Schizosaccharomyces pombe: one gene and its partners. The gene in region 3 interacts genetically with the main gene of each other region. Each region holds a gene or a part of one and is shown on either strand. Other genes may lie near its edges.

What was found. Genes that interact genetically often act in the same process or in processes that back each other up.
Region 1: mutations in ssb1 (region 3) and rgf1 impair growth when combined (synthetic growth defect), as found in Schizosaccharomyces pombe (one study listed by BioGRID).
Region 2: mutations in ssb1 (region 3) and dna2 are lethal when combined (synthetic lethality), as found in Schizosaccharomyces pombe (one study listed by BioGRID).

What each region holds. Positions count from the first base shown.
Region 1 is NC_003421.2:1,243,400-1,249,970, reverse strand, and holds rgf1 (RhoGEF family guanine nucleotide exchange factor Rgf1), read right to left. Parts: upstream 4,786-6,571; 5' UTR 4,709-4,785; coding exon 2,027-4,708; intron 1,981-2,026; coding exon 658-1,980; 3' UTR 501-657; downstream 1-500. Other genes in the region: tudor domain and nuclease, Snd1, read left to right, coding at 1-414. UniProt on the Schizosaccharomyces pombe protein: Stimulates the exchange of Rho1 and Rho5 GDP-bound form into GTP-bound form. Controls septum formation, cell wall synthesis and localization of F-actin patches. Coordinates actin deposition with cell wall biosynthesis during bipolar growth.
Region 2 is NC_003423.3:3,591,791-3,598,643, forward strand, and holds dna2 (DNA replication endonuclease-helicase Dna2), read right to left. Parts: upstream 5,167-6,853; 5' UTR 4,903-5,166; coding exon 4,545-4,902; exon of another isoform or gene 4,500-4,544; coding exon 1,706-4,499; intron 1,658-1,705; coding exon 943-1,657; exon of another isoform or gene 921-942; intron 896-920; coding exon 569-895; 3' UTR 501-568; downstream 1-500. Other genes in the region: kae1 (EKC/KEOPS complex N(6)-L-threonylcarbamoyladenine synthase subunit), read left to right, coding at 1-456; cell wall alpha-1,3-glucan synthase Mok13, read left to right, coding at 5,781-6,137, 6,178-6,853. UniProt on the Schizosaccharomyces pombe protein: Key enzyme involved in DNA replication and DNA repair.
Region 3 is NC_003423.3:218,653-223,317, forward strand, and holds ssb1 (DNA replication factor A subunit Ssb1), read right to left. Parts: upstream 2,647-4,665; 5' UTR 2,609-2,646; coding exon 2,568-2,608; intron 2,499-2,567; coding exon 710-2,498; 3' UTR 530-709; downstream 1-529. Other genes in the region: M phase inhibitor protein kinase Mik1, read left to right, coding at 3,047-4,255, 4,324-4,665. UniProt on the Schizosaccharomyces pombe protein: As part of the replication protein A (RPA/RP-A), a single-stranded DNA-binding heterotrimeric complex, may play an essential role in DNA replication, recombination and repair.

The DNA of each region.
Region 1 (6,571 bases), on a different chromosome or scaffold from region 3:
TTCAAAAACATATCCTCTTTACCAGATACCTATACTAAATTGAAGCCTCAAGCGCAACTTGCTCGTCTCAGTTACGTTCAATTACCTCCTCCCAGCTCTGATTACTATGAAGACGCAAGACTCGTTTTCAGGGAGCTAGCCATGAATAAAGGTCTAGTGGCTAAAGTCGATGGACACGAAGGAAACGTGTATTCTGTAACTTTGTATAATCCTAGTGATGGTTCAGATTTTTCTGACTGTATTAATGCCCAACTGGTTGCGCTCGGCATGGCTAGTGTTATTCCCAAGAAAAAAACATCTCACTTTGAAAAAGATACCGCATCCCTCAATATTCTAGAAGAGCATCAGCAAGAAGCACGTCTAAATCATATCGGTTTCTGGGTATATGGTGATCCCCTAGAATATGAGGACTAAAAATATTTTACTTCTAGTATAGTAACATTGATCATATTCGCTAGTACTTTTTGCCTACAATATATCTAGTTATTCACTTTAAAATATTGTTAACGTATATATTTTAAAAAAATCTTATTTATCATTAAAATTCATGCACCTAAATTATTTTTTTAAAAAAGAAAAGAAAAGATAACCGAACAAACCAATATCCAATTAACCGTTATAAATAAAACGTGAAAATTAAGTTCAAAAAAACCAAAATTACTTGTCTACATGCTGCTCTTTGGCGTGGGCAGCAGCACTCGTCAATCGAAGGGAACAAACAACACTTGTCTCACAATTTTCACCACGTTGATCGCACGCATAAAATATTTCACCACCGTCCCCTAACTTTCCTCTTCCATCAGCAAGCAAACGGATGTTTCTGCCGGAAATGACATGGATCAATTCAGAGGTTTCAACATGTCTGATTTCAATAAAAGTGGGTTCAAAAGCCAATATATAAGGATAACTTAAGGCAAAGTTTTGAGGACTTCCTTCCCAAACAACAAACCATGTAGGACGAGAACGCCATCCATCTCGATTTACGTAAAAAGCAAATTGGGAATAGCATAAAAGAAATTCACCGCCATTCATACGATAGATAGCGATAGGTTTAACATTTTCTTTCTTCTCCACAAATTCAAGAGACGTATCGGCTGGATCCAGTAGAGACTGCGTCTCTAGGTTATCGAGACTGACCACCTCAAAACCTCTCGTACATCCGACACAGAGTTTATTCTTCAGGAAGTGAACCGAAGTTGATTCCGTGGGTATATAAAGCTCTTTGACAATCCTCAATGGGTCTTGGTTAACAGTAAGGAATTTTTTCAAGCTTGGCATGTTCCGTGTTTTAGAGTAATTAGTGACTGGTTCAAAAACCTTTATAGTAGCACTCAAGACGGAACTTTTGACAGCACACACAAGAACTTTACCCAGACAAATTCCTACGCGAAAGAAAGTTGTATGACCAGAAACTTTCCTTGCTTTTTTAGGGGCTTGAGTAGTATCCGCATCAATCATTTCCAAAGGATACGAATATAACACCTTATCGGAAAGCAGTAGCAATAAACTATACTCTTCAATAACCTCAAGCTGTGAAATGTTGGGAATATTTAACGCACGTACAGGCTTGAATTGAAGTGGGCTGTTTGCTTTTCGAAGAGAGACGTACACACCTGTGTCAGTCCCATATAAAAGTCGACGACCACTATCATAAACGCCTATCGCATTTACTTTATTATCACCAACAAAGAAATTAGAGCAAATGGTAACAGACTCAAACCACTGGTTACGATGTTGTAGCAATGTTTGTTGGTTGTCAATATGCTCTAACCACTTATCCCTACTAACTTCAGTGGTTGCATAAAGAGTGATTTCGTACCCTCTACGACCCAAAAGTTGTAAGCTAAATGGATAAAATCTAGAAGGTGGCTTCCCATTCGCTGCTTTTGATACAGCTGCTAGTTGTTGCTTACTTGAATAAGGGATTCTTAATCCATTATCATCAACAAGGAATAGTTGAAGAAGTAATAGAGGAATAGGCTATACTAGTTAGAAAAAACAATTTAAATGAATAGAAAAAACATACTCTTTGAAAAACTTTCAATAATTCACGTTTATTAATAGTCTTTGGTTTTACTATCAACAAAGCATGGTCAAAGAGAAACAAAGTAACATCCGACGCAGACTCTGAAGAAGTGGAACCAGCACTTCTTTTCTTCAAGGGTCCTTTGAATATTAATTGTCTGTTCGCATCAAGCAGATGTAAATCATAATGTTCTCCAGGTTTAAAGACCAGCTGTTGATTCAAATGAAACAAGTTAAACTTATTTTCTGCTTTTCCGCTTTCAACATTAAGACGTGAGAGAAATCCTCTAACGATATTAATGACCTTCGGAATGTCTTGTTTATCAGGGTTACCCTCATCAGTATATTTTAATACCGCTTCTAGAAGTAATGGATAACGAGCCAATCTGGTAGTTGGTTTAGTCAGATAGCCGTTTAGCTCTAGCTTTCGTGATTCTTTCAGACGTTCAACGTCACTGACAAACTTAGCAAATGCAGGATTAGATGACTTTTCCTTCTCAAACTCGTATTTTCCGTAGAGTTGGCCTGCACCATATCGTATGAAAGGCTCAAATTTTGGAACGTGCTCCAAAAATATATCCGCAATATTATCCACAATGGGTTTATAGTTTTGTCTTTTAGTAAGAGCTTCAGCCAATTTAGAATTAACTGCTTGAACCTCTAAAGCATTTAAAAACACAGTACGAATAAATTTTTCTTTTTTTCGTTCAGGTATACAAGATGAAGCCCATAGTGGTTTAATCCAATAATCCCGAAGATATTCCAAATCCTTAACAAAATCTCGCTCAGTATAGATAACCTCACAAATTACTTCTTGACGCTTTCTTTCCCGGTCACTGACACTATAAGCAATCTCCTGGGGTACGCTGTGAATCCACAATTTTTGTTCCTTATCATCAAACGCTAGGGAGGAAGACTGTTCAGTGTTTGCACGCATTTTGGCAAATAGTCTGTGCTGCTGTTCCAATCGTCGAGGACATGAAATAGAATAGCAGGGATGATCTTTTGCACATGTTGGAGAGTAACAATGCGTCAATAAAGTAAATATACCATTTGGAAAAGAAGTGTCACCTAACGTGGACGGTGAGATTCGAGTGCCCGACTCATTGTCCTCCAATTCCTTATGATGGTTTTTGTTGTTAATGGATGCATTATCATTTGCGCGTAAGAAGGGGCGATAACCAGTACCTTGAAGCTGATATATTTCACGATGAGAATCACGAAGACGATGATCATAGGTAACATCATGAATAAATTTTTGTGCATCTAAAGAGCGTCCGACAAGTAAAGCGAGATTTCTATCAGAAGTATGTATAATACCCATTAGCACGGTGACTGCATGATCGCCAGTAAAGGCATTAGAATAAATTAAACCGTCTTTCGTGATATCACCTAGCTGTAGTCTATCTAACAATTCGCTGGCAACACGAGAAAGTAAGGCAGCATATATTCTGCGTCTTCGTTTATTTTTATGAACAGGCGAGCTAGCTTCCGAATTAACAAACGTCGGCGTTGTTGTAGAGCTTCGATCATTAATTAGGGAATTTCCACTTGCACGGGACTTATAAGAGCTCAACGTAAAGGACCTTGCAGTAGGTTCAACACCAAGTCTCTGCTGCTTAACTGCTTCATAATGAGCCAAGGTAGAATGATCAAATGAGCGATTTCGCATATCATGTTCTCTGTCTCGTAATGTGGTAGAGGGACCATGAAAGACATTAGAAAAGACGTCCAACCCAGAAAAAATATTCTTATGGCTGCTAGCAGAAGCTATGCTTAAATGAAGATCCGCGGGATTGCTAGTAGATTTTGGTAGCTGAAGGGACTGGGCAGGTGGAGAAACGTTAGCAGGATATTCACTAACACTACGTATGAGAGGTGCTTGAGCTGCAGGAGTAACAGCATTGGGAAGTGTAAAGGCGGAATTAGAAGAAACAATGGGTGGGTGAGTTCCTGAAGTAAATGAATGAGAACCAACAGTGTGAGAAGAATCATCAGTTGGTAATCGAGAATTTGAAGAGAGAAAGGGATTTTTAGACGAACGAACAGGAGAGCCGTAAGGATAATTTTGATCGAGATGAAGGTTTGTTTCTACGGACTCTGTAACAGAAGAGACTGCTGAAAGGAGGTTCTCATCTACTGAATCCGAAACCGGAGACGTGCTACTCTGAGACTGACGCCGAACGAAAAAAGGATTTTGGTTGGAATCATCACCGGATGATGTGTGCCAAGTCAAAGAAGGGGAATTAGAGTTATTGGGCGCATGATTCGATACCTGAGGAAAATGGGGTGTGGTGTTTAAAGATGCATATAGAGCACCAAAATCATTTCCGTCTTTAAGAGTCAATGGGACGATCTGGTGATTATTTGAAGTACCAAAAACGGAAGGAAAAGATTCACTGTGCTCAATATTTTTCACAGGAGATGCTTCTCTCTGATGAGTTGGAGGTGCAGGAGGTTGAGACGATGGAGGCTGCAAACTCGTGGAACGAAAGGGCAAAGGTTTCCGAGGAAGCCTTCGCGTGGGAGGAGGAAGAGGTTTTTTTGAGACTGGAGCCGGTTCCATGAACGCAGGAGTACTTACAGTTCTCGCCGGCTCCCGTTTTCTTGGAGCACCAAAAATTTCCTCATAAGCACGCGAGCTCTCATTCACACCGAGTGCATTTGGATGCCGGTAATCCATTGCTACTATAAAAACAATCAGTTTGACGATCGAATCGACAATGCTGAATGTTTCCCGTGAAAACGAGGGTTTGGTGGTGGAGAAAAAGACAAGATAATTTGACCACAAACTTTCTGCGAAAGTAGCTACGAACTCGTTATAACGGTAAGATGATGAAAAATTCTAATTTATACGATTTTCTAAATCAAAGACCATTAATATGTAAATTGCGTATTGCTTGATGAATTAATGTTTTGCTTTAGTATATTGCTTTCACCTTCAATTTCTTTTGCATGGAGGGTTTCCACTCGAAACACATGCTAAAAGGCGACATAAAAAAAGGCTTTTGTTAGTGTTTCCAGAGTTGAATGTTTAAAATTTGATTTAAATTATAATAATAAGTTTATATAGCCGTCCTGGTTCGTTCAATGAAACAATTGATTTGTTTACTTGTCTGCTTAGCAATTTGAGAGAGCAACAGGTATATTAAGAAAAGATTATCCTCGAAGGGAAAAATACGTATACTTAATATATCAGAAGAATTGTTACAGCAGCAGTAAACCGCATTAATATTATGAAGGGATGAGAAGCTATAAGTCATCAGTATGCTGTTTTGGGCTAAGTTTATCTACTTCTTCTATAGATAAGGTGATTTCAATGTTGAATATGTAGTAAAAAAGTCTTGAACTCCTTAAAAAAAAAGTACAAATCTGAATTTTCACTAGTCCTAACAAAGTTAATATCAACATTCAACTGCATCCTGGTCGACTTTCCACTAAAAAAAAAAACGCTTATATAAAAAGGGAAGTCATGAATGAACTCCTTTACTTTATATTGCCTATTGCTTTTCTACTTGCTGCAATTTATGTGCTCACTTTTTCTGTCCGACCAGCTCATAATTGTATTACCGATTTACAAATATGAAAAACATCATCTAAAATAATTAGCTTTAATCCGGATAACCTCAATTGATCGATTTCTATGACTATGCTGTATTGACTTATTTTATTTTAATTGCGTTCGCATTGTTTACTATTCAGCTTGTGCTCAACATCATATAAATTGATCAAATATCTTTTTGTACACTTTATTTGCCCTATTTATCGTTTAAATCATGTAATCTAAATTTGGAAAATTTGCTAGTCAAAGACCAATTTTGTTCTTCCGTCGCGAACATACAACCAGCCATTTTCTTATCCACTCCGCTCGCCGTCCACGAAGATCCCTTGGTGGTGGGTTATAAGTTATTTAACATTTACACATATATTTAAAAACCATAAAGTCCTATAATCTTTTCTTAGGCATCGATTTTGATTTATCCCAAACGTTTCATTAGAAGAGGTTGTTTTTTTGATCAAGTCATTACCTTTCATAATATACTGCTTTTGCTTTCTCTCTTTCTCTGTCTATAAACCTACGAAACTTGATTCCTCTGAAACGCTTGGGAGCTTTCTTTCCTTTTTGGGTTGTTTCAATCAGATCATCCTATATTATTCCTTCCGCCCTAACCCTTTTATTGTGGCATCACAAACCGAATAAACAGACTGTTGCATTGATATTGCGATACAATTCTTTCTTTCTTTTTTTCTTTCTTTCTGTATTCGTAATTTTATGTCAAAGTCTTTTATTAATAGAGGACGGGAGTTTCTCTGGTTCATCGCATAACTTTGAAAGCATCAATCGTTTTCATTCCGGCTTACTATAAAATTGCTTTTTTTGAGGGCGTACGAGATTGGTTTGCATTTTTTGAATTCCATTGACACTGAATTTGTTCTATTTTAATTTATTTTCCCTTATTTTATTCCATTTATTAATTTCTCTTCGCATTTCTTTCTTTTTTTTTATACTCTTCTTTCTCAATTCCTTTTTCTATCTTTTTTCACC
Region 2 (6,853 bases), 3.4 Mb from region 3:
AAAAGATTTATAGAGTTACCCTATACTGTTAAAGGTATGGATTGTTCATTTTCCGGATTGTTGTCAGGGGTTGAAGCGGCAGCTACAGAGCTATTAGACCCAAAAAATCCGAGTTCTGTTACAAAGCAAGATCTTTGTTACTCTTTACAGGAAACTGGCTTTGCAATGCTAGTTGAAATTACAGAACGCGCGATGGCACATATCAGAGCTGATTCTGTTTTAATTGTTGGAGGTGTTGGATGCAATGAACGTCTCCAACAAATGATGGCTGAAATGAGTTCGGATAGAGGCGCTGATGTTTTTTCTACAGATGAACGTTTCTGTATTGATAATGGTATAATGATAGCCCAAGCAGGGTTGTTGGCTTATAAAACCGGGGACCGATGTGCCGTCGCAGAATCGACGATTACTCAAAGATATCGTACTGACGATGTTTATATATCATGGAGGGATTAATACTTATATTCATGAACAAGGATCAGATGAATTTTATTTTAGGCATTTATATATACATTCTTCATTATGAAGATCGTATCCAGTAAAATATTGAGTTTTTTGAAGTAGATTATCAAAATTCCAGTTGAGGTAAAATAGCTTTTTCACATAAATTGTCACTATTAAAAAACCTTTGGTTCTTTCTAATAATAACTTTAGCATTATTTGTCGTTGCAACCTGAGAACAATCCTTAATTGGAGAGCTATTCTCGTCAAATTTCGTTGCTATATCATTCTCATTTAACGTGAAAATCCATTTGTTTTTTTCTAATAATTTCAATAAATGAGAAACTATATTTGAAGACGAAAGAGTAGATAACGAGCCAAACATAATACATTTCACTTTCGCCCTGCTTAAAGCAACGTTCAAACGATGCCAATCGCGTAGCAATTCTCCAACCTAAATAAATGGTTAGCAGTTGTGTAAATAATTGGTTCAATACTCACTAAGTTTTTACTGTTGGATCTCACAAAAGATATTAAAATGATGTCCTTGTCTCTTCCTTGATAACGATCGACAGTGTTAATTTCTATTTCAGTGAATGATTTAAGATTCTTAGAAAGCAACTCCACCTGACTTTTGTAAATTGAAATTATCCCGATAGAACTTTGCTTAACGCCTCGTTCCAAGAAGGAGGAAACTGCTTGTTCTATCAAAAAAGCTTCAGTATGATTTTCTAGAATATTATTAGTTTTTGATTCAACTCCCAGAATATCATCGGTATTAAAAAATATGACTGAATGACTAGGATTGATTAACTTGTTGACCCAATGTAGGCTAGACGACGAATCGGGTAAACCATCACTTAGATGAGCTTTTGGCAAAATTAATTTTTTTTGGGATATCGTCTTGGACCCACACACCAAATTGCCGCCATAAATAAGTTCACTAGATAATGAATTAATGTCTTCATTCATACGATATTGTAGTCTTAAAGTGGTAACGGCTTCAGGATGCTTTTCTGATAGTAATTTAAATAGACTGAGCGACAAACCATCCTTAGATGTTCTTGAATTTTTTACTAAAGGAGGAAGTTGATAATGATCACCAACTAAAACAAATTTTTCAGCAAGCTGCAAAGGGCCTAAGCAAATTGGTAGAGGTATTTGGGATGCCTCATCAATTATACAATAATCGAATTTTCTTTTATTGAAAATGGAACTAATGTTGTTAGTAGTTTGTTCATTGCCGTCGCTTTCAATTACTTACTGATATACCCCTAGAGAAGAGCATGCAACTATTTGGGGGTCTTCGTAAAAATGTTTTAATGACGCTAAGTCGTCAAACGTCGTTCCTTCAGTCAAACAAAATTCTTTTACTAGGGGATGGATTTTATGAGGAGATCCTAAGCGGACGATTGTGCTATCACAACCCTTCAGTTTAATTAAAATGTTATCAACTGCTAAATGCGTAAAAGAAGTAAGAAGTATTTTCTTCTTTTTGGCAAGCAATGATCTGATTAAGCTAGAAATTGTAGTGGTTTTCCCCGTTCCAGGCATTCCGAGTATCAAACTATAATGTTCTGCAGCGTGGCATTTCTTTAAAGCTGTAATTTGATCTTCGTTTAAACATTTCAAAAATTCAGGATCGATTAATGCACTATTACAAAATTTTGGAGGCTTCAAACGGATAATCATGTCCCTTATAATTAAGGGAGCATCTGGTAATACAGAAGACATCAAGGTACCTCTTATTGATGCAATTCCGCTCGAAAATTCGTCCTTATCAATTCTGTACCTCGTATGGTTACTTCCGATAAATGACAATTTGGAATCTTCATAGTTACCAAAAAATACCTGGTTTTTTTTGAAATCAAAGTTAGGCATCTTTAGCCATGGAATATGAAGTCGATGACGAGTTCGTACTTCAATACATGAATCTTGAATATGGACTATGTGTCCTTTAGCTAGTGACCAGTGTCCATGTTCATCAGAAATAAATACTCGTTCACCAACGCTGAAGCCTGAGTGCAAGAAATTTCGAGGATAACCATTGTCATTTAAAAAAGCGAATTTGTAATGAAAAACCCTGTCATCAATTTCTAAACAAACGATATCCTCTTTAGTAATGTATAAAGGATACAGAGTTTTTCCATAAGCTTCTAGCTCTTCTGTATCAAAAGTCAACACATCGCCTCTTTTTAGTAGTAAGAGTCGTTCCTCTTGATTTAATAACTTCTCCCACTTCTTATAAAATTCAAGATCCTCATCTTTTACTTCGCGCATCCATTCATTCCATGACTCAGTCAAGCCGTTACTATTAGCTACTCCTTTATCACTCATCTTTTGAAAGAACAAACATTCAGAAACTAAACTGCAGTGATCGCAAATTTTTCGGTTCGAAATCATTTCAGGAAGGCTGCGCCTAAAGTTATGCTGTGCAAGAGAATTTCTTGTCATGATCAACCCTCGAAGTTGGGAGTTACTTGCAACCAAATTCTTGATAGTACTATTTTCCAAATAGCATAATAATGCCTGATTAGTATTGATACCATAACGATCTGAAATGAGTAATGTATAAAGCAAACTTTGAGCAAAATGGCTAATATTGTCGACATATCGGCCAGTTTTAAGCTCTAACGGAAGTGTGAGGGTTGACGAAGACTCAGGTTTTTCAGTTAAAACCACCTCAACTGTAGCATCGATATTACCTTTTAATCCAAATCTGGGTGACCATATGGATTCCTCAATATCGAGAAGCCTTGAAATGTGAATACTTTCATTGTTGTTGTCATTTTTTTTACTTATTAAATATCTTTCAACAATAGATTTAAGAAGGGGAAGCCTCGCATCAAGTTCCTCTCGAATTTCATCGAGCGACAAATCAGCAAAATAGATATCAGAGATGTATGTTTTTATTGATGTTTCAAGGTTGATATCAACATTTTCAAGGGCATCAATACCTCTGTATAATGCGTGTTGAAAAAAATCATGTAAAATGTTTCCAGTTACCATAGCTTTTGTAGGAGGTCCATAAATGCCAACCCTGTCAGATATTACGGCTTTCCTCAAACAAGGAAAAGAGCTGGCCACTGCCGTAGCAGACATTAAAATTTTCGGATGTATGATAATAAGTCCTTTATCGTTGTCAACGATAGCGGTATTATCTTTGTCAAATGTAGCTTCAACACGGATAGAATCCCCTACAAAAATACTAGTCTCAGTCCAATCACCGCGTAAAAATAACTGATGCAGTATATCATTTGCTTCCAAAATCAACTTTAATTGTCGAAAGTGATTCCCTTCATGAAAAATGAAGTCTTCGTGAACTTCTAATACTGTGTATTCGGAGGAAAACTCGCACAATTCACCAGGAGTGCATCCATCACACGAATCATCCCAATCATCGATAAAGTCGCTATTGATATCCGGCAATGAATTACAAGCTTTATCAAGAGCAAGGTTCACAGGTTCTTCATTTATTGTAGCATCAGATGCTTTTGTTGCTGAACAATAAGATTGCAAATCACCTCCCACATGGTTGACCTTAGCTGTCTTTTCTATGTCCTTTGCAGAAGCAGTTACTGTAGAATTAGGTAATTGTGAGTATTGGCGTTCAAGGGAATCTAATGCTGCCAGATCTTCAGCTTCTAAGGCAAAATCATCCTCGTCAATTTCGGTATCTGATCCTTTGAGAAGACAACTGGAATTTGCAGCAATTCTTGATTGCTCAGATGATCTTGCATTACGAATTATAGACACCAAGCTAGGGACTTTATGCAGGTTATTTCCTTGGTTTTTTACTTCATCATACGATCCGAAGCTTCTACTCTGGTTTTCCGAAACATTTGAACTCGACAAATTATTGTTTATCAGTGGCTTATTATCTGAAGCACATCGTCGTAATAGGACAGTTTCATCCGTATATAATGTAAACACATCAGATTTTGAGTTCGTTGACACTGGTTTCATATCTATAATCGTTGAGTCCGTCGTTTGATGATCCAGCAAATGTTGAGTAGAAGAGCTACGACACAAATCCTTCGAAGTTTCTTGAAAACATACTTCTAAAAGTTAAAATACACGTCTGAATACAAGAAAAATCATACCTGGCATGTCTTGGCTATTCAAGTCAGATTTCCGCGTGAAAGATTTGTCAGGCTTTAAATCGTCAGTAATTTCTTTATGAGCTTTAGTAAATGGGGAAAAAGATGTTGAGGATTCATTAAAAGTATTCTTTCGTTTAATTGGTAATGAAGAATGCTTTTTTTCAGAGATTTTAGGTGAACTAATTTCTGTAGATGCATTGTACGCAAAATTTTCCAGCTTCAATTTAGTTCTCCCATTTAGCAAATAGTTTTTCCTGAAAGGAGTTGAATTAGTTTTTTTTAAATTACCATGATTGTTGTCAGTAGTGGCACATATACCTTTCACAGATGAAGTTGTTTTCGACTGGTCGTTGAACATTATTAATTTACAAAAAAAGGAAGGCAATAAACATTAAAAAATAAAAAAGTTTGTTATAATTATACTCAAATAACCAGGCTAAAATTCAACCAGGTAATGAGCTTTGAAAAGAACGACTAAAACACGTGAAAAAGAATGATGATCAACGATGTAAATGCAAAGAAAAAATAAATAGAAATAAATTAAAATAAAGCCTTAACGACTGCGCTTATTCTCAAAATAATAGGCAATGCTCGTAAAATAGATATTTGGAGTATGGTTGTCGGAGGTTTCAGTTTTATAGATACTCGGTTCCCTAACGCCAACAATGCTAGTTAATTTATTTCCTTAGGTTTTCCGCAGTCATGTTCTCGATTGATTTTAAATAAAATTACACATGAATATGTGCCAGTAATCTTTACAATGAACCTTGTGAAGTCGTTCACAGGTAAATTGAACTAAAACCAAGTCCGATGAAAGCAAAATTATTGATTTTCCTTAATACATAATTAATAAATATTATCTGTATCGAAATTCGCTTCAACTCTTCTTAAGTATAAGCTTATTAACTGAATGACCGTTTGCATACAAAAGCGCAAACTGCGATTTAATTATAAAATAAAATTCCTTCTTAATTTTTTTAAAATTTATTTTTAAAATAGAAATGCATGTGTAAGCAAAAATTAATATAAATTTTTTAGGTTCGTTTGTTTGTTTACATTCCAAAAAGTTGACTTATTGGTTATTGTACTCTTCTCGTATTTAGAAGCAACCATCATTTGAATCGGGAAAAATCTTGATAAATTCATATATAATAGCATTAACGATCGCATTAATTTTAATAAAACTATTTTGAACAGGGCAGCTTCTTCACGTCAATTGAGGAAATACCATAAACGATGCGAAATAAGAATATTCTCGTCTTGAATTTGATATTAAGTATACCAAGGTTGGTCTTTACTGCTAAATATGATGAAAGAGAATCTTTATGGAATTTAAACCAAAATCAATCAGCTACCGATCCTCTAGATTATTGGGGAAAATGGGAAAACCATCAATACCATCCCAGTCCAGATGATTGGCAAGTGCCATTTTACACAGTTATTTTGGATAAATGGAAAGATGGTGATCCTAGAAATAATGAAGCTAACAATACTATTTATGAGTATGATATTTATGAAACTGGTTTTCGAAACGGAGGGGATATAATAGGCCTGAAAGACTCACTAGATTATTTGGAGATTATGGGAATAAAGGTAAGATAGAGTTATGCTTTTATGCTCGTTAACGAATAAGGTTATCTACATCGCCGGTACACCATTTTTAAATCAGCCATGGGGTGCTGATCAGTACTCACCACTGGACTACACCATCCTCGATCACCATTCTGGAACAATTGCACAATGGCGTGACACGATAGAAGAAATCCATCGTAGAGGGTTTTATTTAGTTCTGGACCTTACAATTTCTACGTTGGGAGATCTTATAGGGTTTCGGAAGTATCTGAACAGTACTACTCCATTTTCTTTATTTGAACATGAGGCGGTGTGGAAAAGCAACGTCATTTATCCAGACTGGAATTTCACAAATAAATATGACCCAAAGTGTGAGCTTCCCAGATTTTGGGGTGAAGATGGCGCGCCTGTTGTGATTGATTATGTTGGTTGTTATGATTCAGATTTCGATCAGTATGGCGATACAGAAGCCTTTGGTACTCATCCTGATTGGGAACGTCAGCTTTCAAAGTTTGCTTCTGTCCAAGATAGACTTAGAGAATGGAGGCCATCGGTTTCAGAAAAGTTAAAACACTTCGCATGTATGATCATTGCCATGTTAGATGTGGATGGTTTTCGTATTGATAAAGCTACTCAAATTACAGTTGATTTTCTTGCTTCATGGGCTCATTCTGTGAGGGGGTGTGCAGCAACGTTTAATAAAAAGAATTTTTTTATACCTGGTGAAGTAACTGGTT
Region 3 (4,665 bases):
TCTCGTTGTCAAGGTTTTACTGAAGGTTGTTGCGAGACGGATTAAATAGTTTACTCCATTCCATTTAGAATGTGGGGAGCTAATTAAGGATCTTTAAAGATAAATTTGTACGATTTAATCAAAGAAATGTTGTATTTTAAGATTTTGTATGTAATTAACAAAATTTGTCGCAAAACAGTCTTTTTGCTCAGTTATATTATTATTACTCAATTAAAGAATGTAACCTGCTGTTATTGGTATCTAAATCGCTTCCTTATTAAAGTTGTTTATTTATAAAGTAAATTTAAAAAAATCATGGTTCATATTCCTGTTAAAATAGGATTGCATTTTCGTAGACTCGTATTTACTTCAAAACAATCTGGTAATTTATTTCTTCAACAGTTTCAATTCTAAAACAATTGATAAGTTTACTGTATATTTTACTTCATATTAAAAGATATCATTGCATTCTTTTAGCGGTGATTTCAATCAAGCCATTATAGCGTAAATTACCCATCAAGGAACTTTAATATGTAAGCAACAGAACTAATTACTCCAAAAATTCAGATCATATATAATTACTTTAAATCTAGTTAAATGTAAGTGAAGTACCAAATCATAAGGAAAGGAGTCACTTTGTAATCAATGTATGCAAAATCATAAATCGTAGTTTTCGCGATTTAAGCCAAAAACTCAATTACTCGACCAGCGAGACGTAAAACACAATGTTTTATTGAGCAGACTCAATGAAATTTATCAATCTTTTAGACTCTTCCTTCCAGTCCATTTGATTAATTGACATCACTGTATAGCGTACTCGCATTTCACCTTTAAAATTGTCTTGCTTAGCACGACATTGAAAGATATATGGCATATAGCAAGCTTCTGCCATACAATTCATAAAGGCATTTTCGTCGTTTTCTTGTAGATCATTCAATTCGTCTGCCGTTTTATGCATGATTAATTTACCGACGTCGTCAAAGACGTTGAGCCAGAGTTGTCCCGTATGATCACCTACAGCAATAGTTATAATATAACGGTATTGAGGAGCATCATATTCTTTATTACATTTCTCACATCGCCAGGAGCCACCTTGATCAAAAACCTTTTTGTTGCAATCAGCAGCAGGGCAAGCAGGATATGACACGTTTTTCTTTCGAATGTAAACAATGGTGCCCTTTAAGCTAAAATAATCGGGTGTTTCTGACATTCCCAGATGTTCGGCTTGAACCTCAGCAATATTTTTACGTTCAGCACTCCTTCCAGTAGTAGATAAAGTAGATGAAATTACGCTATGTTTGGCAAATTCCTGCCCTCTACCCTGTCCATCATACCAACCTTTTAACAAATGAGATTCCTGGATATCTGGATCTACCGACATGGTGCTGCTAGTTAACATTGACAAAGAGCGTCCTTGAAAGTCATTAACTTTAACTCCTTTGAAAGCGAGAATACTTTCTTCAGAAACAGAGAATTCAATAGCTGTCTTTCCCCAAAGCGTAACACGCATTTCATATCCTGTTTGGTCAACGATAGTGATATCACGCTTGTCAAATCCACGAGAAGTTGCACGACTGGTAATTTGTTGAACTGGTCCAACGTTTTGGAGTACACCAATTACATCGATAACAGCATCTTTGGCAACATCGCCGACTTCTTGTAGAGAAACAAAACTAAACTTCGCAACGGGGACGGCAGTTTGATCCTCAGCTTTCCTTATTTCAGTATCACGTTCAAACATCAGCTCATACTCGTTTTGAACATTGGTATATTGTTTTTTTGCAATGTTCACACGACAACGAGATATATAATAAACCGAACCTTCCTGTAAGATATCATAAAAAGCATCAACCTGGTCATTAAAGCCTGTTGCACGAATCTCCCCACTTTCATCGAGTAAATTTACGCTAAAAAGCTTTCCTTCACCTCGTTGATTATGCCAATGTTTAACCTCAGATTTGTTAGTAACACGGGCACGAATAGTCCATTTATTCTGATATGGAGAGAGACCTTCAATTGGGTAGATTATTGTGCTAAGGCTATTCGGCGCTGCTGGCTTCTTCATCATGGGAGGTGGAGCCGGTGCTGTAGCTGCAGCATTGTTTCCATAAAATGAGTTAGTGCTTGTCGAAATACCTGTTCGTGGTGCGCTAGCATTGTTTTGCTCATTTTGCTGCTGCCGTAAAGCGTCAACTGTTTCTAAACCAGCGGGATTACCAATTTTATCCATTACGCCAAGTTCAGTTAAAACATTCAAACCAAGAACAATCAAAATTTTTCTTTCTTTCATAACGTTTACAGTGAATTGGGTAAGCTGTACGAACGCTCCTTTTTGAAGTTTATTTTCGGCAACCAAATGGTTCAGCTGGGTGCTTAACATAGATTGCGCATAATTGATTGAATCGGAAAGGACAACACGATATCTTTTAGGAGCACCAGAAGTTGGATTTGAGTTTAGCTCCTTCACGGTTAAGACTTGGAGAATTGGATTAGGAGGAAAAGACGAAGCATCGGATGTACTAAAGAAACGTGTTAACATCCCAATTTGTCGAAATCTTTTGAGTATATAATTTGGACAGTTAACTTACTTGATTATACGAAGTGCACCCACGGATAATCGCTCAGCCATGTTTGCAAATTCTTTTTTTTTTAATTAGTGGTTGGTTTAAGGCAAAAGAACGAAGCCGCGTCGCGTTATCCCAAATGAAAAACGCGAACGCGTCATGACGCGTCGTAACACATTTTAATATTACGCGTAACTTTAAGATGTGTTGTTTGTGTACGTGCATGTCAACAATGGTTGTTTACTTTCAAAGTTATCCTTTGCGCACAACACATTGCTATAGAAAAGCCCTTAAAAGCTGAAAAGAATAGTAGTGTTATTTAATTCTCTACAAAAGGAAATAAATCCTTTGTGATTTTCCTTTTGTTGGAAGAGTTGAACTACATTATCATCTGCATATTATTTATTATTTAGGAAAACCGGAGATATCAAAGTGAAAACGGGATTTTAACAGCTAATAAGCAAAAAAATATAACTTTATTTACATTCAGGTTTCAGTTAAAGATGGATTCATCAACCACCATCCCAATTACTCCAACGCGAACACCATGTTTTTTTAATATATCCTCTTCGTTTAATGAGCATTCTCCATTAAATTTCTACGATGAACCCATTTACAATTTTTCGTCTGGCCATGAAGAAAATCAGAGCCATAAGTCATCAAAACTGACATTCTTTAAACCTTCCAATACAAAAAGAAGTCCACATACCCCTATGCAAAATAATGCAAAAGCCATCAGATTATCCACTACAGTTCGCCACGGAATTTTTAAGAATTCAGATCTCGATGGGTGTAGCAAACCATTTGCATTTTCGAGCGGCTTGAAGTTATCCAAAAAAATTGTGGATGCTTCAACGCCAATTGATTTAAAACGAAAAAGGGCGGTGACTTCTTTAAGCACAGGACTGTTATCAAAACGTGAAAAGTGGTCATTATGGGAAGGGAATTTGACTAATCCAAGAAGTGAACAACCTCATACACCTTGTAAAAAGGGAACGAAAATAAAATTAAAACCACCTCAATCTCCGCTGTCACCCACTACCTCTCTTTTAGCTCGCAAATGTAAACATATCGACCTAGATACTTTTAGTCGGTTGGATCATCCAAACTCTGACAGCTCGGATGAAACGTTTGAAATGGAAGAACTTCCTTCTTTGTCTTATGGTTCAGAGGACTTGTTGGAATTTTGCGAAACGCCTTGCAAGAGTCAGCCTATTTTCCTTTCAAGTTCCCACGTTAATAACTGGGATGAGAAAGACGTACCTTCTTCATTAAGTTGGACACCTACCAGTCCAATTTTTTTAAACATCAACAGCGCAGATGATTACGAAGAAGAGGAAGATTGGACTAGTGATCTTCGAATTCGATTCCAACAAGTTAAGCCGATACACGAGAGTGATTTTTCATTTGTATATCATGTGTCTTCGATCAACCCACCTACTGAAACGGTTTACGTTGTAAAAATGTTAAAAAAAAATGCAGCCAAGTTTACAGGAAAAGAGCGTCACTTACAGGAAGTATCTATTTTGCAACGCTTGCAAGCATGTCCATTTGTAGTAAATCTAGTGAACGTTTGGAGCTACAATGATAATATATTTTTGCAATTAGATTATTGTGAAAACGGAGACCTAAGTTTATTTTTAAGCGAATTGGGATTATTGCAGGTCATGGATCCTTTTCGCGTGTGGAAAATGTTGTTTCAACTAACTCAAGTAAGTTATTACATATTTAAAAGTCGCGTTCCACAGACACGTCATTTGAATTCACTAACCGAACATAGGCATTAAATTTCATTCATCTTTTAGAATTTGTTCATTTAGACGTTAAGCCTTCCAACGTTCTTATAACTCGTGATGGTAACTTAAAGTTGGGAGACTTCGGACTAGCAACTAGTTTACCGGTCTCCTCGATGGTTGATCTCGAAGGCGACAGAGTCTATATAGCTCCCGAAATATTAGCTTCGCATAATTATGGGAAACCAGCCGATGTATATTCACTAGGCCTCAGTATGATTGAAGCCGCAACAAATGTAGTCCTGCCAGAAAATGGTGTTGAATGGCAACGACTAAGGTCTGGAGATTACTCAAATTTGCCAAATCTTAAAGACCTCCTTTTGTCGAAA